Linked DNA regions of Drosophila melanogaster. The protein of the gene in region 1 purifies or fractionates together with the protein of each later gene. This does not show direct contact. Each region holds a gene or a part of one and is shown on either strand. Other genes may lie near its edges.

Region 1 (7,544 bases):
TTTTTCTCGTTGACCAGCTCGAACAGTTGCAATATAAGATCTTCCACTTCCTTTGAGTTGGTTAGCACTTCTGCGGATTCGGGACCATCAGTATCGGTGGCATCTAAGGAACGCTCACAGCGATCCCTGATCATTTTCTCCAGAATAACGCCTTGTTTCTCAAGACCCAGCTGCTGTACCGCAATAATTTCGAACTCGTGGCGAATTTCTTGCAGCGGAAGCCTTTGTAAGACTTTGCGCGGTGGTATTGGAACCGCTGGTGCTGGTCCCTTTCGCCTCTTCCATTTCCCATGAGTGGATTTATTGTGCCCCAATGGGCTTACGTTTCTATCGAAGTCGTTATACACGATAGGCGATTTTTGATCCTCCTTGCTACGTTCAACAGTGTTTTCGGGTTGAGTTGGCGGCACCAAAATGCGTCGGTATACCACATTTACCTCCTCGTCGGCATTGGATGTACTTAAGCTCTCGTCGTAATTACTCGACTCGGTTGCCTCATCGGATAGCAGACTCTGGTCAAGTGGTATTAGTCTTCTGGTTGAATCACCCAGATTTGGGGCCTTAAGCTGAGTGTGCAACAATGCCTTTTGTTCGTCGGACAATTTTGAAAATCCAGGATCACTGTCAAAGTCCGTTTGTATTGGGGGCAAAGGTGCCTGGCGCTTCTTCCGCATCGGAGAGGTAATAGAGCTAAGACTGGTAGTGGGACTCGATTCTTCGCTTCGCAGCGGACTCCCCACTGAGGCGCGAAGTGGCTTGCGAGGCCCATTTGCAGATGGCAAGGAGATGCTTGAGCCACGGTCATCTGCTCCGCGATCGAACGTTCTTATGCTATTCAAATGCTCCGAAGACGAAGAGGAAATACTACTTTTCTGGCCTTGATGCGTCATTGGTTTTGCTGGAGTCTGGGTTTTTGATATAGATATTCTCGGTGTTGGCATCGGCATTTTTTTCCCATGCGAAAGTGTAGGGCTGGAATGTGGTTTCTCTGACGGATTGGAGATGGATGAAAGGCCAATTTTAGGTGGCGGTGGACGGGGCGGTACAACTTTTCCTTTGCTTTGTTGGGCTGGAATGGCTTTAAGAAGCTCCACTTCATCATCAGAGCTGTCGAATGGGTTGGCACCTTTAGATGAGTCATCATCTTTAAAGGGATTTAGATCCTCTGGATAGTCAGTTTCAGATGCTTTTGTCTCAATTACCTTGTCCTTGGGAGACTCGAGATCCATTTGTTTTGGGAGAACACCTTCCTGCTTAGAGCAGCTTTCTGTGTTTGAGAAAATTTTATTTTCTTTACGCGGGCTTATATGGTCTTCTGGTTTAATGGCTACTTGAGTGTTATTTTCAGGAATCGGTGCTTCCTGTGATTCTGGAATGAGTGCGTCTGATGTATTGTTCAAAGCTTCTTGTTTATCTAAATTATCCGGATGTATTGCATCTACAACAAGGCGGTCATCTTCAAGATATATTGAGACCGAAGAAATCTTAAGTTTCTCTTTTGGAATGTCATTTTCCGGACTAACCGCCAGATCATTGTTTTGTTCAACGCCAGCATGTTGTTCATCGTCTAGTGGAAGAGTAGAGACTTTTGGTTTCTCTGGTATAGCGGGCTTTACAGGAGTTGTTGATTTATTATATTGTTCAATAAGGCCACCATCTTCTTCGTCTAGTGGAATAAAAGAGATTTTACGCTCCTCTGATAATATAGGGTTTACCGGATTAATAGTTAGTTCATTATTTTGTTCATCTTTGTTGGACGGCGGTTGGAAGTTTTCAGGCTTATCAGTAGTACGTATATCATTATCTTCCAGGTCTTCTTGTTTATCTTCAGCTTCAGAGTAATCAGAACTTTGTGCCACCATTTGTTTATCATTCGGAGAATCAGTAGTGGTTGTCTTTAACTTTAAAATGTCAGATTCCGGTTCACTTTCTTCATCGGGACAAGTCTCGCAACAGTATATGTTATTGACCTCCGTTTCATAAAAACTCCCGGGTGTGAGCAATGACGAACATCTTGCACATTTTAAGCATGTGCGATGATAAGCCCGTTTGCCGACAAGGACCCTTTCGGCGAGAAAAACAGGAAGGTTGCATTTCTGGCACTTATCACGTCGAGGCATCCCAACAATGTGCATCACCTTTTGCGGTGGCTCACTCTCTTCGCCAAGTGGCTCCTCTGGCTTCGGGTGCTTCAGGCTCTTGCCGAGCACCTTGTAAAACTGGGATAAATACGTTAGTATGGAGAGTCTATCAGGTACTTCATACGAAACCATGTCAGCTGCATCGAGCAGTGCGGGAATTCCCAAATATTTCTCGGCCGTTGTAAAGGCCAAATCGTTGTTCTCATAGATATCGTCTGCTTTAAGTCGGTCGAAATCTATAAGATCCGGCCGAAAGTGGTGTATTATGGCGCAGAAGGCAAGTCCATTTCGCCAGGAAGTGGTCATGTTCTCCACCTTGACCCCATTATATCCTTGGGTCACAACTCGGCACCAATACTCCAAAGCCTTCGTACCAGTTCCAACTTTTGTGCCACGACGATCAGACATTTTAGTGGGTTAATTGCTGGCTTATTGGCGAATATAACTAAACGAAAATAGCAGTCACAAACTGTAAACTAAGTGAACAACAAAAGCACATCGTGCCACTTGACTTGAGTAAAATCAAATAAGATTTATCTGGTACAAATTACATTAAATGTAAACAAGGCAAAACGGTGACTCAAATAAATCTCCCAATCAGATTTAGTGGTGGGAGTGTCAGCAGCTATCGATAGTTGTTTCGTGCTATTTTCCCTTCTTAAAAACAAGATGTTTAGAAAATTCTGAAATTTTTTAATTTTTCTCAGGAATGCCACACTTTTCAATTATTTTGTTGCTTGTCTTTATTGTCTTGCACTTTGCAACAGGGTGTAGTGTGAACAATCCGCTGCCAGAGTCAATCGATTTAAATCGCTAGTATCAATAGCAACTCCTTGGTTTGAACATACCTAATTTCGAGGAAGTAAACAAACAATTCTGTTTTATGTTTATTTTATATTATATTATATTTTAATATTAGTAAATTTGAAAAAATTAAAACACCAGTAAAGCCCAGAAGATTTCTGGGCTTCTGATTTAATTTCTTAAAAAACGATTATTTAGCTCAACAAAGATGAGAACAGAAAATTGCACAACATGTTTATTATAAATTAATGGAAATTAAATTAATATGTTTAAATTGCATATAAAAGGAGTAATTCCTGAAATTGGTATACAAGTTATTATGGAAGTCCACCCACCAGACTCATTTTCATCTTCATGTTTTATAGGAAATCAACTCGGCAATTACTTGGCGAAAAGTTTATTACCATTTTAAAAGTTATACACAACTATTAATTTTTGCATTGACTTCTCTCAGTGTATTCGAACAGAAAAAATTATTTCTCAATGTTATATCCGTGAAATAGCCTGGTCACACCGACGATAAGCAGTCCCGCATCTAGCGAGAATAGTTACGCCGGCACGTGTAGTTGAGTAAAAAGTTCACTCATTAACTTTTATCAACCGCTCCAGTTTGCATTTAAGAATTAAAATGGTAAGTTAAAAGTGCATTGCCCCATATGAGGTTTAGAAGACAGTTTGAAATCGAAGGATGATATCGGTTTTTCGAGAAGGTTCCACGGCTTTCGGTCCACATCCCATTCGCCGGGCTGTTGTGTAATCAATGAGAGAAACATGAAACATTGAAACATGGGTTAATTGTTGGGTCTTTTTTAATGATCCTCAGGCCGCCGCTATCAAGAAGATCATCCCCATGCTGGACCGCATCCTAATCCAGCGTGCCGAGGCGCTGACCAAGACGAAAGGAGGCATTGTTTTGCCGGAGAAAGCGGTGGGCAAAGTACTTGAGGGCACCGTTCTGGCCGTAGGCCCTGGCACCCGTAATGCCGTGAGTATTTCGCCATTATCAATGCAGAGATGGTCATCTAATCACTGAACATCCCACTTCATCCGCAGTCCACTGGCAACCACATTCCCATTGGCGTGAAGGAGGGCGATCGTGTTCTGCTGCCCGAATTCGGTGGCACCAAGGTGAACCTAGAGGGTGACCAGAAGGAGCTGTTCCTCTTCCGCGAGTCCGACATCCTGGCCAAATTGGAGTAGATCTCGCCTCCGGACACTGTCTCACAATTCTATGAATTCTATGCTTTTTATTAGTATGTAACACACCCACAAACCCGAAACTAAAAACTACAATAAAAGCTCATGCAATATTTTTGTTTGCATTGCGCATGGACCGTCATTGAATAAATTTCGAGTTACTTGTTAAAACTAGCAGCACAGGTGTTTTGTCATTAATCACATTTGTCATTTTACTCGAAAAAATATTGGATTCATTCGCGGAAAAGGTAGTTGCAGTAAATAAATTAATGATTTAGTATCAAATTTCATTCAGCAAGCAGAAGTTACGAATTATGTAACTAAATGTAAATACGAATTCGGAGTTAAAAACTAATCTAAAGAACAAATCCCAAACGATTTTACTCCCTTCAAAGTGAAAATTAAAGATTACACGTTTAAAACATACAAATATCTATATTTGAACTCCTACTTAAGGCTATGTTAATCCAACTTCAGGTTGCTCAGTCCATAGACCTGGTTAAATGCCGATCTCCGTTTGATGTCTGGCATTCCCTCCACAGCTGCCCGCTCTCGAGAGATCTTTACTAGAGCTTCAAAAGATCGCGGCTCCCAAATGGCGAGGTCGGATAGGACTTTTCTGAAAGATGTTATAGGTTGTTAAAGGATATGGGAATTTTCCGGTGGTACCCACTTGTTGAGCAGAATATCGGAGCGCGCGAGGCCCTCTTTGAAGGTTTCCAGACCTACTCCATACTGCTGACAACCCGCCTCCACGCGTGTGCTCCACAGTTGCGCCATGTCCAGTTTCTTTAGCTTTCGCCCCTTGGTGGCATAGGCCAGTGCCCTATGGACACTCCGGATGGCGAAGGAGTAGACATTGCGAGTGCGGCTTCTATAATGCTGCAGAAATTAAGCACTAAGAGCTCATTATTTTTATTGTGGCCACGATATTCGGAAACATACCGCTGCCAGCTTGAAGATGCGTCTCTTCCGCCAGAATTCGTCCGGACCACGGGACCGTACCAGCAAGGGAAGGTTCAGGAAGACCATGGCTTGATATTAACAGAATATCGGTCGAGTTTTTATATATTTTTAATTGATCTCAACGACTCTACTTGTTATTTTACATAACCTGCACGGCGCTAAAATGAGCATGTTATCGATAAAATATCGATGCAAGGCGTGCAGTTAAGAAATTTATTTAAAAAGGTATAGGTGAATACCTACAAATGTAATTCATTTAAGTTACTATTAAATTTTTTCTGACTATATAAAATTAAATTAAATCCTCAGAACTCGATATGTCGATATGTAACAGTGCATAACTATCGCTTATTGTTACAGGGGGTATAGGCTAAAGAGAATTGCCCGCATAATTTATTTTTAAAACCATTTTCTGCTAAACGTGGTGTTAAATATTTATTTATTTAATTTAATTTATGATTTATGATTTATTTTATTAAAAGCTGTAAGAATTATATTACTGATTTCTATGATAATCACGAGCCTATACTTTAGCGGTTATTCACTGTGCTGCCTATCGTTATCGAAAGCTTTGCCGGTTTATTTACATTTTGGCGCATTAAACCAAGCAAATGTTTTAAAAAACCTCAATTTCCGTGTTTTTGCGCACAGCAGCAGCACAAAAAGAATCCCGATTCCCCAGTTATGTGTGCAAAGAGCCGAGTGGCTTCTCCTGGGGCCGGTGGCACCAGCCTGTGTTCCGAAGGCCGCATCAGTTTATATTGCTTTCTGATTACTGCAGCTCTAGTCCTGATTCCCTCGGTGCCCCAGAATCTTTATGGAGTGGTGCCACAGGTGTGGGGCGCCGTCCTCTGGGGTCCATTTTTGTACTACGCCCTTATTAACATGATCATACGGTTTGTGCTGCGGAACCACGACTACCAGGTGAGTCAATCGATGAGACGCGATAAACCTTATCAGTGCTATGGCGCTAACTATTCTTGCACCACAGGTGGCCATTAGGGCATCCTTCCTGGGCTTTGCCATGGCCGTGAGTGTGCTGGTCATCTGCTTTGCTCCCACCGAGTGGCAGCAATTTGGCGCCTACGGATGCTTCATGTCCCTTTTCCACTACTCGGAGTTCCTCGTTATCGCCTTTGCCAATCCGCGCACTCTCAGTCTCGACTCCTTTATGCTGAACCACTCTGTGCACTATGGACTGGCGGCGGCAGCCAGTTGGATCGAGTTCTCACTAGAGGTGTACTACCTGCCGCAGTTCAAGAGATACGGATACATTTGGGTGGCGGGCGTGGTCCTGTGCCTGCTGGGCGAGATGGTTCGCAAGGCAGCCATCATCACAGCTGGCCGGAGCTTCACTCACTTGGTTAGTCGTGATGATTTGTTAATACATGGACATATAAATATTATTGCACTTAAGGAATTATCACACTATTATTAATTAAAACTAACTAAATAGCTTGTAAACTTCTCATCACACATCTATTCCTACAGGTCCAGAATGAGAAACACTCGGAACACAAGCTAATAACAAGCGGGATCTACGCCTACTGCCGCCACCCGTCTTATGTCGGCTGGTTCTGGTGGTCCATCGGAACCCAGATCGTGCTATTGAATCCCATCTGCATATGCATTTACACACTGGTCAGCTGGCTGTTCTTCCACGATCGCATCTACGTCGAGGAGTACTCCCTGCTCAACTTCTTCCAGTCGGACTATGTGCGCTATCAAAAGCGGGTGCCAACGGGCCTGCCCTTCATCCGGGGCTATCTGGTCGATTAGTGCCTCTGATCTGGGGTTCAATGTCACAAGTCGCCATGGCAAACAAAACAAAATTCTATTTTAGGTTTAGGTATACAAGGTATACAGCAGTTCTCTTTTGTATAGCAAAAAAAAAAGATTTACAAGCACATTGTTTTTTCCAAATAAGTTTTCTAATATTTAGCATGTTGTTTTGTATTCATAAACTAGTCAAAGCATGTTGCTGAACTGATAATCTAATCTTCTTTTTTGGGTTAATTGTGAATTTATGGGCCGCATTAGCAAGCAAATGAAACAGCTGCGTGTTTCACAAGTTTTATTTAATGTTTAACTCGTCTATCTATCGTTGTTGATAATCTTATCTGCTGATGACTCCTCGTTGTAACTTTGGACATTGTAGTCGTATGCATTATTCTCCCGATTGGTATCTTATACCATAAATGGATAAGAAACCCAATAAATAAAAGGATGAGGAAATAAACCTCCTTTCACCTCTTATCTGAAAATCAATACAAAGATTTCAAGTTGTACAAAATGTTGACTTTTGTGTCTCGCTCGCGTGTCACTTTTGTTTTATTATCAATTTAAATTCGAATATTGCTCTATCTATAAGACACAAGCCTCACTCTCTCTATTTGTTCATGTCATTTCACATGTGTATGCTTTTGTATGTGTCTG
Region 2 (5,897 bases), on another chromosome or scaffold:
TCTGGGAATCGTCGCCAACAGAGGATTCATCTATCAATCTGCGAGGATTCAAGTGTAGATTTTTGTAATGTTATAACTCATCTGAGAATCTAGTACTCACTTCTGCAGATCGTCGACAATCACTTCGTAAACAATTTCGAGGAATTTAAGGGTCTTCTCGAGGGCTCTGTGGAACAAGGGACCAACGATCACATTGTATTTGTTTCCAACAGCACCCAGTTCGTTGAGGAAGTGCACCTTTAAATTGGATCAAGTCAAGACATACATATATGATTTTCAGAAATGGAATGGAATTTGTATGTACTTACAGAGATGTGTTCGTGAATCTTCTTAAGCTCCTCCATCTGCAAGTTCGTCTCAATGGTCAGCTGATAGATACGGAAGTGGTCGTACCGGGCGGCCATGCGACCAGGTGCGGACTTGGCCGCCACCATGGCCACAAGGGTTATCAGAAGGATTGGTAGTTTCATTTCGGAGGTTTGGTGTCTTGAACGTTACAGCGTTCACTGTGAGGAGTCCCTTCACAGTCGTGCTTTTTATTAGCTCCAGGAGTGGCCACTCAAACGGAACGTTATCTAATGGCGATAGGGGATCAGTCATCTGGCGTGTGTCTCCTTTGATCTAATCGCCCATCCAACCTACCACAAAGTAGCTCTGGACTTTGTCTTTCGAACCAGACGTGTCTAAAGATGGTTGATACACAAGAAAATTTAATTAAAGTAATTATAAAAAAGATTTAAGATATTTCAACTTGGCCAAATAAACTTATCCCGAAACATGACCTAATTTTTTATGTTGTATTGTTTTCGAAAGACCAGAGTATATGCAAATAACCTAATTAAAATTTAACTAATATTATCAATTTCTTAAGTTCATGTAAAAACTTATATCGAATATCCAAGTTACCTTTACAAATACTAGTATAAATGACAATAAACTGGTATCAAATTTTTCTCGGTGAACTTCCTCTAACAAAGTCAGCGGAGTCAAATTTGTAAGTGAAATCATGCACCGAGTGTGGAGGCACTCGCCTTATCAGGCATGTTCAATTAATTAAATACTCCTCCAGGCGTCTGCACGTGAAGGAGCACTTCGAGAAGCGTTTGTAGAATGCACTGGCAAACTGAAGATCGTCATCTTCAAGTGACAGACTGGGTGGGGAAGAAAAGCCGTCAAACATTCGATTGTGAAACCATTCATTCGTTTAATTTTACTATTTAAGCAGTGCAGTTATTGCTAGTCACTGCAGAAATTAATCATGCCACTGAGCCTAATCTGTGATGTTCCTTTCCTTCCCTTTGAGTAAGCCACTTAAAATGTTGCGGTGTTATCAATTTGTTTTTAATGTTTTTCTTTTATGTAAAATTATAACTGCATTATCAAAAACTAAAATATTACGTTAGTAGAAGATTGCAAGCAAAGGTGACCCAAACAGTGAACTACACCTTTGAAAAAATATTTAACACTTGCTTTGAATAATTACGAAAAAGAACTAGTTTCTTGGGATATTATTGCTTTTTAAGCTACTCCCATAATTGTTTATAGTTCGATTATTTCAGCAAGCCTTGATAGTCAAATTAAATTATAAATTTTTAGTCATAGTGCTTTACTATAGAGGTGAAAGATTAAAAATGTATTTTGAAACTGTCATTTTTTTGAAAGTAACGTAATTATGAAATAGAGTAGCCACAAAGTTTGAATTTGTCATACTTCATACGCATACGTTCACACTGACAGAATATATCGCTTGGATTTAAGAAAAATCGTGCTAAGCGACAGTCACACTCCCCTCCGCCATATTTCTTTTCTTCGTTTCCGGTAGGTGTGTGTACTCCGCATTTTTCGACTTCAATTTAACTTTTGCCGAAATATCAGTGAATTAGCGCCTTAAATTATGTAAAATATCATAGTTAAGAGTTAGATCTACGGGGGTAGCGAATTATTGATTTTCCAATTGAACTTGAAAAATCAATACCAACTGACCCCCGCTGAGACACATCGCTGAGCCTTTGAACCGGCACCAGATGTTTTCCCTTAGCATAATTGATACTATTTGCAAAGCAATTACCTAACCTCGTGTTCTCCACTTGCTTCCCCACAGATTAAAATGCCCGAACTGACCGAAATCAAGAGCGAGGCTGCGCCCTCCACCTCCGCTGAGGCGAAACCCGAGGACGTCCGCGTTGAGGATGATGGCAGTGATAGCGACTCCGATGGTGGCATGCCTGGTCTGGAGGAGGCTGTAGCGGCCACCACACAGCTGGGTGGAGGTGCCACCGGTCTGCCCATCGACCTCGTCTCAAAGGCCAAGCAATCGCGCGGCGAGAAAAAGGCCAGGAAGATCATGCTGAAGCTGGGACTTAAGCAGATCCAGGGCGTCAACCGGGTGACGATCAGGAAGTCGAAGAACATCCTGTTCGTGATCAACAACCCAGATGTGTACAAGAACCCCCACAGCGACACCTACATCGTGTTCGGTGAGGCCAAGATCGAGGATCTGTCGCAACAGGCCCAGGTGGCTGCCGCCGAGAAGTTCAAGGCCCCGGAGGCTGCTGGCGCTGCAGACAGCGTGGGCGCCACCACATCGGTGGCCCCCATTGCCGAGGAAGACGAGGAGGATGTCGATGACACCGGCGTGGATGAGAAGGATATCGAGCTGGTCATCACGCAGGCCAACACGACGAGGGCCAAGGCGATCAAGGCTCTGAAGAACAACAACAATGACATCGTCAACGCCATCATGGAGCTTACTATGCTTTAGAGCGGGCTTCAGCGTTAGCTGCACTCCTGATTTTGTTGTTTACCCGCCTTTCGATAATACTGACCCAAATGTTGTGCATGCCCCTCAAGGGGCAGCATGTTACACCAGTCGAACATTTAATTATATTTCAAAAGATTGCGTCTTAATAAAAATGGATTTATTTCAAATCAAATACGATTGCGTGTATTTTTCGACTAGTTTCGGTTTTCCACTAGGTGGTGTGGGTGTCTTTACTTGCCTTGCTAACCGAATTCGATTAAGTATACATTGAGGTTCCAGGTTAAGTACTTTGAGATTAGGGACTGGCACATAAGGGATTCTATTCTGTATTAGCTATTAATGTTCAGGTTGCAGCCAGCTTGAGGACGCGGGCCTGACTACGCGAGGAGAGGCGAATATCCGCTGGACTCTGCATCCAGGGTTCGCCATCCGCCTGCATTGGCACGGTCTCCTTGACTTGTAGCTAAAAAAAAGATTGTTGGTTAACAAATATTCGGTTCCATCACTGCAGGGCTTACCCTTATTTGCTTGGCTTGGCCAATTCGCACTGGTTTGCTTATATTGCACTGCAGTTGGGCAATGTGGAAAGAGGAAACAATGCCGAACACCTCCATCATACCATCGGAGATGGAGTTTACAATGCGCACTTCACCATTGGCGTTGCTTAGCTCGCAGAGCTTGCAGCCAGCTCCCCATGAGTCGATATTTAGGAACACCAGCGCCTGCAGCTCAGGCAGTTGCACTGGCTTGTTGTCCAGATACAAGGTCAGCTTTTCCTCGATGTGTTCGCAGCCAGGTTGCATCACCTGTTGCGTTCCGAAGGTAAAGTACAGCAGCTGACGAGATGGATACATTAGTTAACGTTAAGTAAGCACACTAGATTGTAGCCTACCTTATTGAATATTCGACTGCTGAGCAGATAGAATCGAGATTCGCGCGTCTTGTGGAAGTTGTAAGTGATGTACGCATCCACACCTACACTGAAATAGTTGTACACATGAATCGTCTTCGTGGGATGCCTCTGAATAGGCAGTCGATAGTGCAGTTTCTCTATTTGCAGGTCAAAGCGGTCGAGATTCACGGAACGTGCTCGCCGTATGCTCCTAAGGATCTTCACCGGGTCGAGAACAGAGGGCGGCTCTGCTCCCCAGCCCAGAACTCGCGACAAATCGTTGCCGGTGCCCAGCGGCATGATGGCCACCGAGGGCTGGGGCTTGATATTCAGCGTATAGATTGTATTGAGCACCCAACCGATGGTGCCATCGCCGCCCGCCACCAGTATGCGACACGGGCGAGGACTGGCTTTGGCGGCCCACTGCAGGGCGTCCTGCGGACCCCTCGAGCCCAGTTCCATCACCTGCAGCGGATGCAGGTAACCGCGGAGCAGGGACAACACATTGGCACCCGTACTGCTGCCCGACTTGGTGTTGGCGATCACAATAAGCGGCTCCCAGTTCTCAATGTCTGGCGGCGTAATGCTGGCCAAGTGGAGCCGCATCGAGTCTCTGGTTCGGGCGGCCACAAAGCTGTATGGCGGGAAGATCATGTCCTTGAACTCGCCCAAGTCGCAGGCTTCCATGGAGTCAGCGCGAGTGTAGCAATCGTTATGATAGCACCGCTGACACCATGCACATCGCCATCCGTATAATCCTGGATCGGTGCTGACATGGTGATCCACCTCCTCGTTGCAGTCGGCACAATGCACTCCCATAGGCAGATTGCCATGCACCCACAAGTGCCGCACGGAGGACTCGTTGCGCAACCACTTGTCCTTGCACCGGTACTCCCTGTCCGCCCTCCGCTGGCAAGGGGGCGTGGCATGGGTGCACAGGCCGCAGCAGTCGCAAAAGAGTCCTGCGGAGGGGGTTAGCAGGATCTCGCACACATTGCAGAAGCAGGCCTAGAATGAAGGGCATGTATCCTATGGTATCTCTTTCGCGGCAAGTGAATCCGCTCACCTGTTCCAACACTTTTATTGATTTCCAGCTGTGACGTGTTTTGAAGGTGCTCACAAAGTCCTCGGAAAGCAGGCTGCGGCAGAAGGCAAAGAGGATACTGAGGGCCAGCAGGGATCCTATCAGCGCCTCCACGCTCAGCTCAATAGTGCCTATGTCCATGGTCCACGCAGATAAGGCCCAATTACGCTAAATATCCTGGTAATTTGGCATATTCACAAATCGTTTGTTTTTGCCCCATCGACCAGTGTGACCGCTTCAAAGACAACAAAAAACACCTTCGACCTCAATTAAAAACACTTTTCAAGAATAAGCACTAATGCGTAATTTCGATAGGCGGAGTGACACTAGTATTTAGATTCAGGACGTTTCCAACACTGCTTGTCAACTCAACCTAACAAATCAGCTGTGAGTTTGGCGTGTGGAAAAAGTTTGATTGGGAACAAATCGGACGTCTTTAACAAAAATCTAGCCAACATGAAGGTTATCTACAACACCCTGTTCAAGCGCACCTCCACCTACGCCGTGGCCATCATCGCGTCGGCCTTTTTCTTCGAGCGCGCTCTCGATGTCACGTCGGTTGCGATTTTCGAGGGCATCAACAAAGGCGTAAGTATAATCCTGTTATGTAAGCAAAGTTTCCTGGCCAAATCTCAAGATTTCCCCGCTTTGCAGAAACTCTGGAAGGACATCAAGGGCAAATACGAATAAATTAACATGATTTGTTGTAATTAGCAATAATAATCAACGTTTATTCTAAACGAAACGATAACTAAGTGTGGTTTCTTTTGGTTATTTTGATTTGGGTGCTTCCAGTGCGTCTTCCGACACCTCCCAGGGCTTCTCATGCCTCTTCTCATCCCAGGGCTGCTCGTTGGGCAGGCGAGAGGGTTCCTTGAAGGACACCCCATTATCCTGAATGGTTTGAAGCAGCTTCTGCAGCTTGCTACCCGGTACCGCCTCCACGTTGCAGGTCATTTCCGTGATCCCAGACTGCAGGCAGCGCTGTGCGAGCACTCTGCCGAGATTTACAAACGCAGATGTGTCGTTGGTCTTGTACAACTGCTGTTTAATGGCCCATTCCGAGGTGCTGGCACTCAGGATGGTTCCATTCTCAAAGTGCTTGACATCGCCGCTGACATAGCGGCCGCTGGTGTTGATTTCCAAAGTGTGCCAGTAGG
Region 3 (7,195 bases), on another chromosome or scaffold:
ATATTCCTTATCTACGTGATATTTGCAAAATACGCCGTCTTTGTTTTGTTTTGAACTCCACGCCAGTGTGGCTGTCTAACTAAAATATACTGAAATTAAACGTAAATATACCAAATTGCTTTATAGCACCAGCGGGCATTTCAGAGTCGCCTGCAACTGGCCATACTGTTGATTTGGCTGTAGTTGCTCCGCTTATTTTTATTTTGTTTAGTAATTTAGGAAAGTAATAGTTTAAGATCAAAGTGTTAAAACCGCAATAATTGTAAGTGTTGCATGCGCTAAGAGCAACTGCTAAGTAACACTTTAGTTTTAGTAAACACACAAAGCGACGGATTCTTAAGACCGCACGCGTGAAATTGACCACTCTATTCTTTTACTTACATTTCGCTTTGCAACCAAACACCCACGCACACACAATCACCGACTGCAGTTGAGAAAGCAGGAGGACACACAACATAAGCAGCAACAACAACAAGTACACTAACGCTTTTGGCTTTGGTTCTGCACTCTTACCCACTCCCCAAAAATCCGCCCAACTTACTGTACTTTCCCCAAACACTTCCAACCAACCGACCTACCACCCACTTGATTTGACTCTGAAGAAACCCAAAAGCAATGTCGGATCTCTTTACCACTTTCGATAGCAACGGCGTCGCCGAGCACCACCTGCACCACAACCACAACTCCACATCGTCCGCCAGCGGACTGCTCCACGACCCACCCATGGCCTCGCCCTCCCAGCACAGTCCGATGACCAACAACAGCAACTCATCCTCGCAGAACGGCGGACCGGTTTCCGGTTTGGGTACGGGAACGGGCCCCATATCTGGTGGTAGCAAGTCATCCAATCACACATCATCCGCCGCCGGTTCCGAGAACACTCCCGTAAGATGCGTGCCTTATGGAGTGCACACGGAATACGCCAGGGTCTAGTTTAACTCTCTTCCGAATTACAGATGCTTACCAAACCGCGTCTCACAGAGCTCGTCCGAGAGGTGGATACCACCACGCAGCTGGACGAGGATGTTGAGGAGCTTCTGCTTCAGATCATCGACGACTTTGTCGAGGACACCGTCAAGTCGACGAGCGCCTTCGCCAAGCACCGAAAGTCTAACAAGATCGAGGTGCGCGACGTGCAGCTGCACTTTGAGCGGAAGTACAACATGTGGATACCCGGCTTCGGTACGGACGAACTGCGTCCCTACAAGCGGGCAGCTGTCACGGAGGCGCACAAACAGCGCCTTGCCCTCATACGGAAAACGATCAAGAAATACTAGAGGATTGGATCTAATCGGGTCGAGGCTCTGTTTCGGTTTGCCGGATTTCGCGTATGCTAAACGTGCACACGCCACAAACTAATTTAAGCTCCAATTTAGATTAAATAACAAATTATCGTCGCTCTATTGTAGATTTATTGTAATAAAAGTGCACTATTGATTTCACATTCAACAATTGGTCACCGTCAGCAGTAAATTTTAAGTCGTGATTTTTTAATCACAGTTTCTAATGGTTCTGTAATATTTGTATTAATTGTTTGTCTGGTGGATATTGATTTATATTTTTCATAATTTAACAATTTCTTCAGTTTATTTTAAAAATATTTGTGTAATATTTCCCTTTGAAAATAATTAGCGGACTCTGCTGAACGCACCCAATTAATTGCTGTATTTTTTAACAACGTGGTATTTTTTTAATGACCGAACGGTATTTTCCATCTCTCGCATCAAGGTCATACCATCAATAATGTTGATTTTCTGATTGTTGATTTAAAATTAAAAAAGCTTTCAATTGGCCAAAACAAATTTGTTCGCCATGAAGCTGCCGGTGATTTGTCGCACGTGCGACTCCACGGACACCGACAACCTTCTGAAGCTGGCCACGCCCTCGAAAAAGTATCCGGACAAGTTGCTTTCGGAGATTTTATGCGAGCTAACCGAAATCAATGTAAACAAAGTTCTAAGAAGCGAAATCTACGAAAAATGCAAACTAAAATGAAACATTTACCTTTCAGCTGGATGCAACTGGTAGTCAGAAATTTCCGCAATGCTTGTGCAGTGGATGCACCAAAAAATTAATGGGTGCCTATTGCTATGTGAAGCAGGCGATGGCCGCCAACGAACTTCTAATGAAGCATCTAAAGAACGGTGCTGCTCCAACGTCAACCGACTGTCTGCAGGAGGCGCCGATGGAGCTGTGTGCTGAGCAGCATGTGGAAGTCAAGCTGGAGACTGAGGATGAGGACTGTGGCGAAAATGATGTTACTATCACTTGTTCCGAACTACCGGAACCGGACGAAACGGACATGGAGAGCAAAAAGTCGGTGGACCCACTGACCATGATTGAAACGGTGAAGCTGGAAATGGAACCCAGAAGCGTGGAGAAGCCAGCGTATGACGATCCCACATCGGACTTTGAAGACGAAGAGTGGGTGACAATTGGAATTTCCCAACTACTTTATTTTAACTAACTAATCTTGCAGCTCCCTGGATAATTTGCCACTGTATAATCGCATTCAAAAGTGGAAAACAGGAAGAAAGTCTGTATATAAATGTCACGACTGCCCTAGGAGTTTTAAACGATTCGACTTCTTGAAACGCCATGAAATGCGCGTCCATAAGCCAGAAACTCGATTATATGACTGCTCCCTTTGCATTCGCAAGTTCAGCCGCAGCGAAGCCCTCGAAGCACACCTAAAAATTCACCGGAATTCAAAACGATCGGCCAACATTAGCGAGCACAAGAAGGCCAAGGCTGTGGATTTGAATCTCTGCAAACCGCATGGCTACAAGCTGATTGAGTGCATGATCTGTCAGAGCCAATACAACAAGATTGCTGATCTGCGCCGGCATTTGGAGGAGCACCCCGATATTGTTAGCCTGTGCGGTCGGCCAAATATGGAGCCCCATGAGCTGGCAGAGCTGTTTTATCCCGATTCAAAGGACCTCAGTGAGGAGCAGTTAATCAACTTGATTCGCAAGGATCTAGCGGCGGGTATCTATCAGCGTTTCTATTCGATAACGAACCAAAGTGGCTACGAAATGGATCTGGACAGCTCGGAGACGGACAGCGACCTGGACGGAGATCACGATGACCAGCACAAGAGGCGAAAGAAGTCGCGCAAAGCCACCTACAGCTGCGAGCTGTGCCAGCAAAAGTTCCCGCGAAAATATCAGCTTTATGACCATCAGCGACAAAGTCACAGTTGGTCAGACGCTCCTCACGTCTGCGGGCGATGTGATGGACGTTTTGTAAGTCTGCAGCTGCTGCGCCACCACAACGAGTCGCAGTGTAGGAATGCACAAAAGCGATTTCTCTGCCACAAATGCCCGCTACGCTTTCGCTGGAAACACAACCTGAAAACACACTTCCGCGAACACAGGATTACAGTAAGTTAATCTAAGAATTGTTCAGGCTACAGACCCATTGCATCTATGAATTTTACAGAATCAAACGTTTGAATGTTCCGAGTGCAAACGGGTCTTTGATAAAAAGAAATCCCTCACCGTTCACCTGCTTAGCGTACATGCGGAGGAATCCAAGCTGATTCCCTGCCAGTGGTGCAGTCGCAAATTCTATCGGCACGACTACTTGGTAAAACACTTGAAGCGACACGGTTTGAAAGAGCATGACATTCCCTTGGCAGAAACATTGATTGCTGCCACCTCGCGGCCAAACGGAGCGAAGCGCATTACTTGCCGCATGTGCAATCTGCATTTCGAGCGTATTGTTGATCTGCGAGCCCATATCCAGTTGGAGCTTAAGCTATCCCTGTCGCTACACCAGAGCTACGACTCCCCGCATAATTATTCAATAACAAACGAATCTGGCTTTGAGCTGCAGCTGGAGGATTCGGAAACCGAAGACGAGATGCAGCCCGGTGTGGGCAGTCGCCCCGTATATATTTGCGAGCTGTGCAGCGTGCAGTGCAAGCGGAAGTTCGAAATGATCCAGCATCAGCGGACGATGCATCGCTTTGACAAAATGCCACACGAATGCGACGACTGCATCTTTAAATGTGTCTCCAAGGTGAGGTTTTAAATGTGTATTCTACATTTAACCAGTATAGATACATTATGTCAATTTCATTATTGCTTCAGAGCATTATGGACCACCACCGGCAAGGTCAGTGTAGTAGTACAGAAAAGAAGCATGCATGTGGCAAGTGTTCCTACAAGTTTATGTGGCCAGAGAACCTAGAGCAGCACATTCTCCTGCAACACAGCAAGTCTTCCGTCAGCAATCCGACTGGCGACAGACACACGCAAGGGACCGGTGACCTGGAAAAGGATGCCACTGAGGACGGAATACCGCTGCTACAGTGTCCACACTGCGATCGCACGTACCAGATGAAGTCGCGCCTGAACAATCATATTCGCGATGTGCACATTAACGGCGACCGCAAGCGCAAGGAGGCAATTAAGCGCTTCCTCTGCTCCCTGTGCGGAATGGAGACGAGATCAGCCGCCGCTCTTGTGACCCATATGCGACGCCACACTGGCGAGAAGCCCTTCAAGTGCGATCTGTGCGAAATGGCCTTTCCCCGCCACTCAGAGCTGGCCTCGCACCGCCGGATGCACACCGGCGAGAAGCCATTCCACTGCACCGTCTGTGGCAAGGACTTTGCCCGCTCCGATAAGCTCAAGCGCCATATGCTTACGCACAGCGGCCTAAAGCCGCACAAATGCACCTACTGCGAGAAGAGTTACCGTCAGGCCAAGGACCTGAAGCTTCATCTCCAGCAGCACACCGGCGAATGTCCTTTCGTGTGCGGCACCTGTGGCGAGCGCTTCATCCAGAGCAGCACGCTGGAGAAGCATCGGTTGATGCGGCGTCACTTCGACGAGGTGGAAGCGTGGCTGAGACGCCAAAAGTAAGGGGCTCTTGCAATAAATACAATTTGGTCTAGTATAAAAGGAATGACATTATTATTTATTGGTCGTGGCGTGGCATCACTTCAGAAACAAGACAAATTACTACTTTAAATATTTGAGCATTAAATGTTTATGACTTTAGTTGAAAGTAAACTTTGGGTGTAGCATGGAATGCCTATTTGTGGCCCTATTCGCTTTACAGCTCTTCAGATCCAGAGCGCGGTTCGATTTTTACCAACTCCGTATCGAAGACGAGCACCGCATTGGGGGGAATCTTTCCGCCACCCGCTCCACTGGCTCCGTATCCCAGCTCAGGCGGAATCGTCAGCTTTCGCTGCTCACCCTCACACATACCAAGGATTCCCTGATCCCAGCCCTTGATCACCTGCCGAGCTCCCAGGGTAAAGGAGAAGGGAGTGCCGCGGGAGTAGCTGCTATCGAACTCTGTTCCATCCTGCAGTGCTCCCTAGAATGATTCCAAATTCGGGGTTAGGTCGGCTAGAGATCTTCCTTATCTGATTTCCCTTACTCTGTAGTGCACGTGGACGAGATCGCCGCCCTTGGCCTTCCGGGTGCAGTTCTCCACCCGCTTCTTAATGCCAATCTTCACTTTCGGATCGCTGGCAGCGGAGGCGGCCACAAAAGCGCAGATTAACAAAATATAAGTTAACTTCATCTTATCGAAAGCCAGTATCAAAAAACACTCGCGGTTTAGTGTGACCAGAGATCTACAATAATTTAACTTGTTCCCACTGCACACATAAAACCAAATAAATATAACAACTCAAATAGTTTTCAACGAAATTAAGAGATTAAAACTTGTTTTTTTTTTTTAACTTTGAAAAAATTAGTAACCAAAAGAAATTTTATGTAAATAAGAGAAAGATCAGAAGTGCAGTAGTATCGGTTCATAGTTAAAACCCAATCAAAAAAGGTCTCACTTAAATGCGAAGCCCGCGAAATTTAAAACTTCAAAAACCACTGCTGGACATATTTTTTCTTGTAATTTACAATAATATGAGTATAGTACAGCTCGGACTTAAAAATAACTTACGTACATTAAAGCTCATTTAAAATAGATACACACATTGTTTGATTACATATTTGACTTTCTTAAAACAAGGAGAGCTCCAAATAATGATCATTTGCTCCGGATTATATGGCCCCGAAGCGCGTGACAGTGCAAAAACAAAAATTGACATTATAAATATGCAACAGATTATCAGGAGATATACGAATGTACGATTATATCACAATAATAAAGGAATACATACAATTTAAATGATATTTAAAGCCCGACATACAACGAAGCCTACGCTTAATTAGGTGCCAACATTCAAGCATAATACTAATTTACACTAATATTTCGTATAAAACATAGCTACTATTATTACAAAGGGTCCCATTGATCAGTGCTGTAAGGGTGAAAGGTGAACTCAATCGCAAATTCGGTTTCCACTCGATGGGCTCTGCCGCTAACACTGCCATCTGGCTTTCAGTTGTCATTGGACAGATTTGTGATCTTGGCCGCATACATGCTGGCCACCTTGTAGATAAATTCATACTGCTCCTTGGTCTGTACGGCGCTGGCACGTCCGCGTCGCACGTAGTAAACCAGTTGGGGGATGTCCACGGACCGCTTCGGTGTTTCCAGACTGCGGATGGCCATGTCCGACGCTATAATGGTACCGGTTCGTCCCGTGCCTGGAGAACAGTGAACGGTTAGCGGTCTGCAGGGGGAGAGATGAAGAAGTTAAGACACAGAACATTAAAAAGCCATGCAACACACAACAACTGCTTTGATATGAATGGATGGAGATTATGTCAACCTACCCCTGCTGACTTCGTGTTCCGCTTCGACTTGAGATGTTTCCATTAATCTCGTGGCTGGACGTGCTGCCCGCCTCGGCTTTGCTGCCGTCCGCATCCATTGACGTCTCCAGGGTCGCGGACTTCTCGCGCAGCTCGTTGGCCTGCTCAAGGGAGTAGGACTTCAGCGAGGATCGCGCTTCCAGCAGCATGGCGATGATGGGCGCCTCCTCGGCCGGTACACCCGCCTCAGGCCATTTGTACCAGTAGTGGGTGAGCTCACGGCTCTCCTCGCCATCCACTCGCTTCAGAACCAATGTGGAAATGGCATAGCGATCCTTGACTTCGCGATGCTTGAGGGTCACCTGGTAATCGCCATAGCTGCTATGATTGTCCAGAGTCGCCGACGGTGGCAGGTACTCGGCGCACCTCTCAATTCCGTTCTCACTGAGATCCGTCGCCTGGATGATCACCCGCGACTGCTGTTCCCAGATCATGCGCCAGAAATCGCTGGT
Region 4 (9,793 bases), on another chromosome or scaffold:
CAAACGATAAAGAGGCAGCGGGGGAGGTCAGGGAAAATGTAAATGATTTCAAACGCTTTATTATCACGCTGAGCGCGTTCCACAGCTTAGTTAATGGCACTCCGGTCCAGTCCAATCCGCTCCAAAGAGCCGCGGGGTGTGCCTCGTATTTTGGATGTTGGATTTCGGAAGGGGGATCTCGAATCTTGGAAACCGGCGGACCACACACAGTCGTAGGCGGAGCGGCGCTCGAGTGAAAGGGTCAAAGAGCCGATGATGATGATGATGCCCCCCCGGCCCCTTCGATTTATAGAGACATATTTTCTAGGTGACAAACTTATTATGAGCCCTGGACAGAGGAGGCCCAAAAATACAGATCTCGAACGAAGTGAGACGCTATCAGCATCAGATAAGCCCAACTAACGAGCGCCCCGAAGTGTCGAGCAGTCAATTTACGGACCCAAAACAAAGCGAGCCACTAGCCACGAACAGGTTCAATCGGGGGAAACCAAAGACCACCAGGCGAACCGTAGCACAGGTATTTGGTGTGTGGTTCTTGGTGCTAGATGCTGTGCAACCTGCTGACTTCCAAGTACACATAAAAACACTCAGGGGACCGAGGCGAATCGATCCATCGGCTTCGAAATCGATGGAAGACAAATTTATTGCTAATTGCAGAGCTCGCTCTCTAATAACTCCCACACATGGAGAATCTCGGCTGAGGCCCTCCATCGAGTCTAGCGATTCCCAGCTGACTCACGATCGGAGTGTCGGTTTAATATGCATCTCCGCCTCCTCAACTGGCGCTCGAATTACGATTGTGGCCAGCTTGGATTACCTGGTGCACAAGATTTGGGGCTAACGGTACCAGCCCTCTAAACTGGGCCTAAATAACCATGCGTTTCATGAGGCCCATAAACCTGGCAAACGTTTCATTTGATTGGTTTGTGTTGGGTTGGGATGGCCCCCTACGAAACAGTTTAGGGCGCAATTAAGATAGGATTTCAATTCCTTAAACGATGCTTAGGCTTTGGCGATAAAGTCACAGTTAAATGGATCACTTAAAGTTTTTACTCGATGTAAAGAGTTTTAATGTAAATAAATTCGATTTAAAAGTTAATGCTGTGACTCACAGTTTTGCCTTAACTTAGATTCCAAAAGGGCAGTGGTGTTTTTTTATTATGTGGCTACTAGAAGTGATATAAAAATCTGAACTCAAGTTAAAGTATGTTTTGTGCTCTTTGGCAAAATTCAAATATAATAATATAGTATTCTTAACTATGAATATAAAATGCAACTTATTATATATAAAATCCTCTACAGAAATGGCTACAGCTTCAAGACGCAGCAACTTCTCACACAGCAACCCGATCATTCTCAGCTTACCCAGTTTGTCCAGCCCCAAAGTCAGAGTACGCATTCGGTGCATCCGGGTCCAAGTCCTGGTCAACAGCAGGCGGGTGGCTCCATGACCATGCCGTCGTCGTCGACGGGCAAGGGAAAACGGGAGTGGGACATCAATGATGCCATTGTGCCACATGTGCCGGACCAGGAGTTCGACGAGTTCAACGAGTGGAGCGACGGGCATGTGAGGCACATCTATTCGCTGCACAACGAGGAGGCCAAGAAGCACATTTCCGGCTGGGCCATGCGCAACACGAACAACCACAACGTGAACATTCTGAAGAAGAGCTGCCTGGGCGTCCTGGTCTGCTCCCAACACTGCACCCTGCCCAACGGATCCAAGATCAACCTGCGCCCAGCCATTTGCGACAAAGCCCGGCGGAAGCAGGAGGGCAAGGCGTGTCCCAACAAAAGTTGTCGTGGCGGTAGACTAGAGATTAAACCGTGTCGCGGTCACTGCGGCTATCCGGTGACCCACTTCTGGCGGCACTCCGGCAATGCCATCTTTTTTCAGGCCAAGGGAGTGCATGATCACCTGCGTCCGGATCCGAAGAACTCCAGTGTTTCCAAGCGGGCCTTTGGACGTGTGCCGCTGGCTGGAAAGTCAGCCAACGGATCAGTCGCCAAGAAGTCGGTCATTGCGGGTCTGGTCAAGCAGGCGAAGGTGAGCTTAGATAGACATTCATTCACCCGGGATGTATCATCTTAACCATTCTTCTCTGACGACAGCAACAACACAGTCTGATTAGCAAGGTTCTTAAGCGTCCTGCTGTCAGCAATCCTCTGGCTCACACCGCATTGGATATATATCAGTATAATGGTAGGTATATAAAACAAGAATATTTAAAGATTTCTTTTACAATTTGTATCCCCCATTAGCCTGTGGCAAGTGCGCCGGTTATAGCCACTGCACTTGCAGCTACCTGGATGACAGCACCACGGCGAGGAGCCATCAGTTGTCACAATCCTCGAATTACGGCACCAATTCTTGGCCACTAAGTGGATCCGAGTCATCGGCACCCTGCGAGACGGCAGCTAATGTGTTTACGGTCAACCACCAGCACATCACCTATAACTATCCCATCTACCATGCAACTCCAGCGGCGGCCACCGCGGCACCTAGTAAATCTCCCAGTTTGCCCTACGCCTGCAGCATTTCGGAACTGGCCGCATACCAGCAATCCTCCAGCGGGAACAGCTTTGCGATGGGTGTTCCCGTGCACGGACACACACAATGCCAGGCAGTAGCCTATGATTCCAGCCCGCAACTGGCCACTCCGGAACCGGAGTTCATCAACTACTCGCAGATCAAGCATTTGGGTGGTGGCGGTGGTCAGGAGGAGATCAGCTGCAAGGCCGAACCGGGACCCACCATTAAGTACAATGCCACCGTGGAGACGCAGCCGTATGTGGAGGACAACTACGATTACTACTATAGCCCCAAGGCGGAGTACGAAATGCAACAGCACCACCACCAGCAGCAGCAGAGCCACCAACAGTTCGGTGGAAATCAGACAGCGGGACATCACTACTACGAGAGCAGTAGTGGCTATAATGGAGTCAGCTATTTCGACACAGGAACTACTACGGCACCAGGAAATACTGCAACCGGAAATGGCCTGGAAGTCGGATACGGCGGCTACTACGATCACTACACCAGCTACGAGCAACAAATGGCGGTAGCAGGTGGATTTGCCACTGCCGGAGGATCCACTGCGCCGACAGTGGCCGCGCCCCCTGGCCATCCACCGCCTCCACCACCACCGCCCACGCTGACGTACCACCATCACCATCACCACCACTTGCACCACCCAGCAGCAGCTACAGGCCTAGCCCCATCGGTCACCCATTGAATAGTACTTAACCAATCCGGACACCGGAGGATTACTCATAGTCGATAGCTAAGCATAGTAACATAGTGTTTAAAATAGTGGTGAAATCTTAATTTCCATCTGTACGTGTAGTGTTAAACGGTTTACCAATTGTTTTTCTCGGCAAATAAATTATGAAAAGTGTTGATTTGTAAAAGTAAATGTATTTAATTTAAGTGCGTAAATATAATTTCTTATTGCGCGACCAATTCAAACATAGCTAATTTTCAGCGGTCATGATGGTGCGGTTCTTGAAATCAGAGATAGATGTCGCGCTGTAAAAAAATTGTTGGTAAGAACCATGTAAAATGTAATGGTAAAAACCATGTAATGTAGACAAGCAGGTGCTCACTTAACCATAACTGTAGTAATTTTAGGACGCATTTAATGATTTGTAGTTTAAAATCGATAGATAGTAAGATATACTTTAATACGAATGATGTTTTATAATTGGCGGAAACATTTAAAGAAAAACAAATTGGCTGCCAAGACCCAAATTTTGTACCGCTTACATGGCTTGCAGTTTTTTTTTAAAAAGCCTCCTACCGGTAAGAAACTGAACTACTGCAGAGTTGCTTTACGATAAACTCACAATGACACACAGACACAGACACACAGACATAACCAGACTAAAGAGAATAGTACTACAAGTTATAATCGCTATCTTCAGCAAGAGGATTTCACATTTAAAGTAATCGCATAGTGGCCAGCAAAACCTATCGCATAGATGTGCCAATCGGTCTATCCATTCGAAATTCACCTTCACCAAACGCGACATACACATATGCAAAAAGAGAGCGTATAGCAATGAGAAGCGTGAGCGTGAGTAAAAAATCTATAAAAGCAACTGCGACGTGCTCATTTTGGTAAAAAATTTAGCTGTGCTGCAAAGAGCTGCCCGAGTGGTAATTAAGTAACTTTTGTACATTTCTACCGGTTCCGTCTCCACATCTCCCATCCAACATGGTGTACCAGGTGAAAGATAAGGTGAGTCACTTCAACCGGATCTATGGACGCATCACATCCGTCATCTATTGGGTAACTCGATAGCGCTACCCTTTGACCCCTCAGTTCCAGTTACACGTTTATTTTTTCGCTCCGGACTTTGAAAATATGGCATTGGAAGCGGCATTCCAATTAGCCACTTACTTTGAATGATTGGATTCGCTACGCTTTTTGCCATACGCTCTCCCGCGAATAGAAGGAACTCACGTTCGGTCTAGACGAGCGAGAAAGCGGAGAGCAAACGAGAAAGTTCCGAATAGCAGCACAGCGAAATGATAATGATATCATCCCGTGGACCGCAAAACGGGTCTCAACGGAAACCGAATTTTGAAATTGAAATATTCCGGACCGAGCTAATCGGAAATAGTGCGAACAAGATATACGTACTATAGAAACCACATATGTACGGATGTGTGTGCGACTGGCATGAATTTGCAATTCATTATCGTGGTCGAGGCCTGGTTTTTTGGTTAGAAATATTTCGAATAGTTGCTATAGCACAGGGTGTGCTCTCCACACATAAGTTGCGCGCCATGCAAGTTGATCCAAAGCCAAGAAAACAAAAGACGCGAGTGCGCGGGGTGAAGAACCGGTTCCATTTCATGAATACAAAGTTACGTCAGGAAATATTGGGAAGTAAATACGTGAAAGCATGCCTTCTTATTTTATTTCTCAATATTAGTTTATTTATATTTGTATACACACTTAAACACTATCAAACATTGACTCTCGCGGTCTAGTTCTATACAGCAAACCACACAACAATAAGCTCAAAAATCAAAAAATGCTTATCGAAGGCATAAGGAATCCACGAAAACATCAAAACATTTATGCATACTGAATTAGACAATATAACAAAGTAGTTTAACTACTGATTTTAGTTTTTTATGTTTACTCAGATATTGTCTTAAAAAATGAGTCAGCAATACATGTTGACAAATTGAATTGTAGCCAACAGTCATCGAGTACCATCACCATCTTGAGATTAATCATTCCATGACGTATGTGTCTGCAATAGAAATGATCTAAGCCTGATTAAAATATGTAATAGGGATGATCAAGTGGTTTTGTGCTAGCAAAAATAGCGTGTATAAAGTTAAATTTCTTGGGCATATACTTATGCAAATTCCTCCAAACCGGTTGCCCATTCCAATTGAAATCGTCAATTTCATTAGAGCTCTGTGCTTGCATGTGCTGTTCTGCGATTGGCATCGCTAGCAATTAATTAAAGGTCATTGGGAAAACGTGTCACGGGCAGAGAAATGGGTGGAAGAAAGGGGATGGAACTGCCCACGACCGCCACACCTTTCGGCATACATACATATAATTTGGAAATTCTTTAAATATTGATTTGCTTTGCTGCCCAATGGGTGCAATACAGAAACTGAAATGAAATTGACCCGATTTCACAAGTTTATGAAGCACACACACATATTTAACCCGTCAATCGGCGATTATTGGGGCTGATTACAGCTTGGCAACTTTGGGGATGTCTGACAACGTTGTGTTTGCAGGGAACAGGCTTATCGGGCGAGATAGTAGCGGGGCCTCCCCAACGCAATATGTATATTTACAATAGCACCGGATCAATGCTCCACAATCGGAAATCATAAAGTTTGAAAACATGACCACCACCTGCTAAAGGGAAAATTACTGAAACATCTCTAGGGAGTGGGAAATTATTAGCGCTAATGTATGATGATATTACTCAGAGATAGTACTAATTTACATTTTCATTTGCAGGCCGATCTCGATGGACAGCTGACCAAGGCATCCGGCAAGCTGGTGGTGCTGGATTTCTTCGCCACTTGGTGCGGACCCTGCAAGATGATCTCGCCCAAACTGGTTGAGCTTTCCACGCAGTTCGCCGACAACGTCGTCGTCCTGAAGGTAAATCTAAAAATGTGCTCAGCTTTATTTTATTTGCTTAACACTTTTTATGGAAATCCTTACTAAATGCCCTTCTCCTACAGGTCGATGTGGACGAATGCGAAGACATTGCAATGGAATACAACATCTCCAGCATGCCCACCTTCGTGTTCCTCAAGAACGGCGTCAAGGTCGAAGAGTTCGCCGGAGCCAACGCCAAGCGTCTGGAGGATGTCATCAAGGCCAATATCTAAGTGGGCAGCGCATAGACGTCTGGCCGTCCCCCTGATCCACCTATGAGTTTTCTTCATAACATTTAGTTAATTAATTAATTCCATAAGTGCAGGGTTTTGCTCCATTCCGCCTGCTCCGCCTTGTCCTTGAATCCCTTAGAGCTGCAGTGCAGTTCGCAAGGTGAAGGTCAGCAGTGGCAGCAGTTGGAACAGCAACAAACGTGAGAAACTAAGTGGCTTTTAAACGTAAAATTTGCTTTGTTAACAAAATCAATAAATCACACAAAGATTGTTCATTTTTGTATGAAAAACATTAGAAAACGCAGTTGTAGCCAGTTGTCCAAGAGAATACGCTAAACAATAAATGTATTACACACTCGCCGTTTGTAACCGATTAAATTGTTTTGCAAAATTCTGAAGGGGAACCTGGGGTGAGGTCGGATCTAGGAATGACACATAAAGTTGTGAAATGAAAGCCAAGTCAAATATCAGTAGCCAACAAGCAGACAAATGTCGTTACGGTTAAGTAATAACGATTAAAACCGGGTAACTACCGATTAGATAAGATACGGCAACAAATTTGTATACTCCAAAGGCATATCAAGTGCGTGATCAAAATGGCCATTTCATAATTAAAATCCACCAGATTAAAGCTAATTTTAAAATTTCCATTTTGAGAAGGCTCTTTTTATCTGTCAAAAAATATATTTTTACATATGTATATTGACAACGAAATTCAAAAACAAATTATATATTTCCTTGAATCCGTGATTGAACTATAGAATATCACTAGGCATTATTAAAAAATTTAATAAATAAATGAACTTATTTGAAAATGAAAATAAGGTAAAAGGTACCTTTCTTGCGATCAATAATATCAAAAGATTTAAATTTGTCCAAATTATGTTTGACAGCATATCGAAAGTTGCCAAGTTGATTCTTGCCATAAAGTTAAAGAACGAAAGTAAATGGGAGACAATATAAAAACAAAGTGATTAATTAAGAAACTATTTTTAATTAATTCAACATTTATTTTAAACATTTGAAAATAAGCCGTTAGGCTTGGACGAACAATCGATACTTGGCTTAGTGGGGACAAAAACCGAATGCAACACTGCGCCAGCTGTGTTGGTGGTGGGAGCGAAAATTGCCCGATTTTTCAGTAGTGTTTTTTTTTCAGTAGTGTCAGACTCTCGGTGACAACAACACGTCGGGAAATTGCATCGCTGTGGAAAACAATAAAATAGAGCGTGAGAGTGAGAGACAGTCGCGCGGGTGTCGGTCAGAAATAAGCAATATTTTCTGTGATTTTTGAGTGTGACGTCCTGTTTTGAGTGCTTCCGCCTCGTAATTCGCGGCATTGCTGCGGCCAAAAGTTCGCCATTGGATGGTTTTTTATAGCAACCAGCGCGCACGGAAATAAATCGGAGCACGGGGAGCACCCAAAGTGCAGAGATGTCGAGGCAATTTGCATAATTTTCGGGTGGTCGGTCGCAGCTAGAAAGTTGTATAATAAGATTGCGAAAACCAGGAGGTACGCCCGGCTCACCACAAATGGACGGGGAATGTTGTGGCAGCTCCACCGCGTCCACCAACACCACAACCATCGCCACCACCACCACCCCAGCTGAAAGCGCCTACACCATCGTATCCCAAAATATTTCAATAAATGTCTAGTGCCAGGCTACTCGAGTCGCAGACATCCGACGAGGATAACGAGGACATCGAGCGGCGGCCTCACCAGAGCCATTCACGCAGCTGCAGCAACAACACCACCCCCACCCATCCACCACATCCCATGGTCAGGAAGGGGGGTGTGGCCAGGAGGATCTGCCTGATAGGTGGGGCACTGTTCCTGCTCCTCGTCGCCCTCTGCTACCTCACCCTCAGCGGGGACACTCGCCTCGGTGGCTCCGAGGATTCGGAGGAGGGATCTCACCATGGATTAGGTAAGCAGCGGATCTCAGTAATGGAATCCCGCCCGGCTGACTGGCTGTTGAGATATACTCGACCTGACAAGCACGAGGGGGATGACCGGAATCCAGGTGAAGAGGAGTTCCCAGGGAATCTTAGTCATAGAGCGCAAGAAATCTACGAATATGAATGGAATTTCAAGATAGAAGAGCAAACGACCAAGCAAATGCAAATCCGAAATAGGCATCGTTTCGATCCCAGAATCCGTGAGTCATGCTTGTACTCTAAAGTTCCATCCCATGGGGGCAAATGCAGTTGGCGGCGCTCTTTCACGACTGCTGGCCGAAAGTGAATTGGCCACTCTGCCACCACTTTCACTTTTCATTTTGGCCCACTGCCAATCAAAGCCTAGTTCACCCTACGTTTTGTGGGGGACTTTAGTGAACGCCCTACGTTTGTTTGAATTAGAAAACAAATTTTACCTGTTATGTTATTTTGTTCTTTTTTTTTTAACGAAAGAAGAGAGAGCTAAGAACATTTGAGCAGTTAAAGCGCTTTGCCAACTGAGTGGCAATACAGACTGAAAAAAACTATAGTATCCGAAAAAAGTTTATTTATTATTTATAATACTCACGTGATATCGAAGCATTATACATACATACATAAGTCGATGTGACTGCACCACTTCACTTCTAAGTTATTGGATGCGGTAATTATCGCGTGAAACGCGTCGGCTCGTCGCTGTTCCGACTTTGGCTACTAGTGAGTCAGGTTGGGCTTTTTATTATTTAACCGTAATTGGATCTATTTGGTAACTATTGTCTTCGCCAAACGCGATGTACATATATATATATATATAATATATGGAAGTAGCCCACCCACAAGCGCATGCAGCGGCAATTACATCGATTCGCCTGTTGGCCGTTTTTTATTGCAATGAGCGAAAGCCGGAACAAGGTCAAATTTTCCAGTTTACTTTGCATTTTTATTGAATGGCCCATAAAAAGGTTAATCTGTTTTGACCACTTTAAACCTACTGGTTTAATCTAATCAGACAAACCTTTTCGATTTTAGGTAACAGATTTGTTTTGTATCTGCAGCCTATGTTTTAGTTATTTATTCACGAGTTTATTGGCTAATAAAGTTCTCGAAATACAGCTGAATTTGCAGAACGAAAATGCGGCAATCCAGATTCAAGGCTAATATGCAATAAGGTGGACCATTCAAGTTTGCGATCAATGATCGGGCTGGCCGAAACAAAAAAACACAAAAAATAATCATGAATCTATCTTCATCTACGGAATTTGTTGCTCGAATCAACGGTTGATTTAGTCAAGAAAATCCAAATCAAGTGCGCGATTTGAGTGGCACCAATTGTCTAATTGCACATTTCCCCACAATTTCCCAGATTCTAGATTGCGCAGTGCTCAGTTCTGCAAAGAAAAAAAGCTTTTAGCAGTTTTTTGCCTCTCATTTCATGAGTATAATTCACACATCGCCCCAATCTTATCAACATCT

Evidence for each region.
Region 2: the proteins of CG11267 (region 1) and Nacalpha purify together in Drosophila melanogaster (affinity purification with mass spectrometry, with the first as the bait; one large-scale study listed by BioGRID). This does not show direct contact.
Region 3: the proteins of CG11267 (region 1) and CG14715 purify together in Drosophila melanogaster (affinity purification with mass spectrometry, with the first as the bait; one large-scale study listed by BioGRID). This does not show direct contact.
Region 4: the proteins of CG11267 (region 1) and Trx2 purify together in Drosophila melanogaster (affinity purification with mass spectrometry, with the first as the bait; one large-scale study listed by BioGRID). This does not show direct contact.

The regions. Positions count from the first base shown.
Region 1 is NT_037436.4:13,012,589-13,020,132, forward strand, and holds CG11267 (uncharacterized protein), read left to right. Parts: upstream 1-3,461; 5' UTR 3,462-3,573; coding exon 3,574-3,576; intron 3,577-3,768; coding exon 3,769-3,930; intron 3,931-3,998; coding exon 3,999-4,145; 3' UTR 4,146-4,315; downstream 4,316-7,544. Other genes in the region: MICAL-like, read right to left, coding at 1-2,549; mRpL20 (mitochondrial ribosomal protein L20), read right to left, coding at 4,605-4,761, 4,816-5,024, 5,088-5,174; Icmt (isoprenylcysteine carboxyl methyltransferase), read left to right, coding at 5,793-6,032, 6,100-6,471, 6,600-6,887.
Region 2 is NT_033778.4:12,756,726-12,762,622, reverse strand, and holds Nacalpha (nascent polypeptide associated complex protein alpha subunit), read left to right. Parts: upstream 1-1,623; 5' UTR 1,624-1,818; exon of another isoform or gene 1,819-1,822; intron 1,823-1,830; exon of another isoform or gene 1,831-1,896; intron 1,897-2,098; exon of another isoform or gene 2,099-2,101; 5' UTR 2,102-2,107; coding exon 2,108-2,761; 3' UTR 2,762-2,930; downstream 2,931-5,897. Other genes in the region: CG12374 (uncharacterized protein), read right to left, coding at 1-38, 101-237, 309-470; Dgkepsilon (diacyl glycerol kinase epsilon), read right to left, coding at 3,105-3,224, 3,280-3,597, 3,654-4,661, 4,720-4,878; ox (oxen), read left to right, coding at 5,194-5,325, 5,392-5,427; mRpL18 (mitochondrial ribosomal protein L18), read right to left, coding at 5,509-5,897. UniProt on the Drosophila melanogaster protein: May promote appropriate targeting of ribosome-nascent polypeptide complexes. Required for correct localization of the osk/oskar protein to the posterior pole during embryonic development.
Region 3 is NT_033777.3:11,672,634-11,679,828, reverse strand, and holds CG14715 (uncharacterized protein), read right to left. Parts: upstream 5,609-7,195; 5' UTR 5,548-5,608; coding exon 5,401-5,547; intron 5,338-5,400; coding exon 5,068-5,337; 3' UTR 4,906-5,067; downstream 1-4,905. Other genes in the region: Taf12 (TBP-associated factor 12), read left to right, coding at 616-885, 957-1,277; CG18476 (uncharacterized protein), read left to right, coding at 1,813-1,944, 2,012-2,424, 2,480-3,386, 3,445-4,026, 4,098-4,874; CG42327 (uncharacterized protein), read right to left, coding at 6,367-6,601, 6,705-7,195.
Region 4 is NT_033779.5:9,609,300-9,619,092, forward strand, and holds Trx2 (thioredoxin 2), read left to right. Parts: upstream 1-3,866; 5' UTR 3,867-4,076; intron 4,077-4,114; exon of another isoform or gene 4,115-4,133; 5' UTR 4,134-4,217; coding exon 4,218-4,241; intron 4,242-6,002; coding exon 6,003-6,149; intron 6,150-6,232; coding exon 6,233-6,382; 3' UTR 6,383-7,105; downstream 7,106-9,793. Other genes in the region: gcm2, read left to right, coding at 1,303-2,047, 2,113-2,203, 2,263-3,236; GlcAT-S (glucuronyltransferase S), read left to right, coding at 8,031-8,541. UniProt on the Drosophila melanogaster protein: Participates in various redox reactions through the reversible oxidation of its active center dithiol to a disulfide and catalyzes dithiol-disulfide exchange reactions. As a reducing substrate of peroxiredoxin 1, thioredoxin 2 is preferred over thioredoxin 1.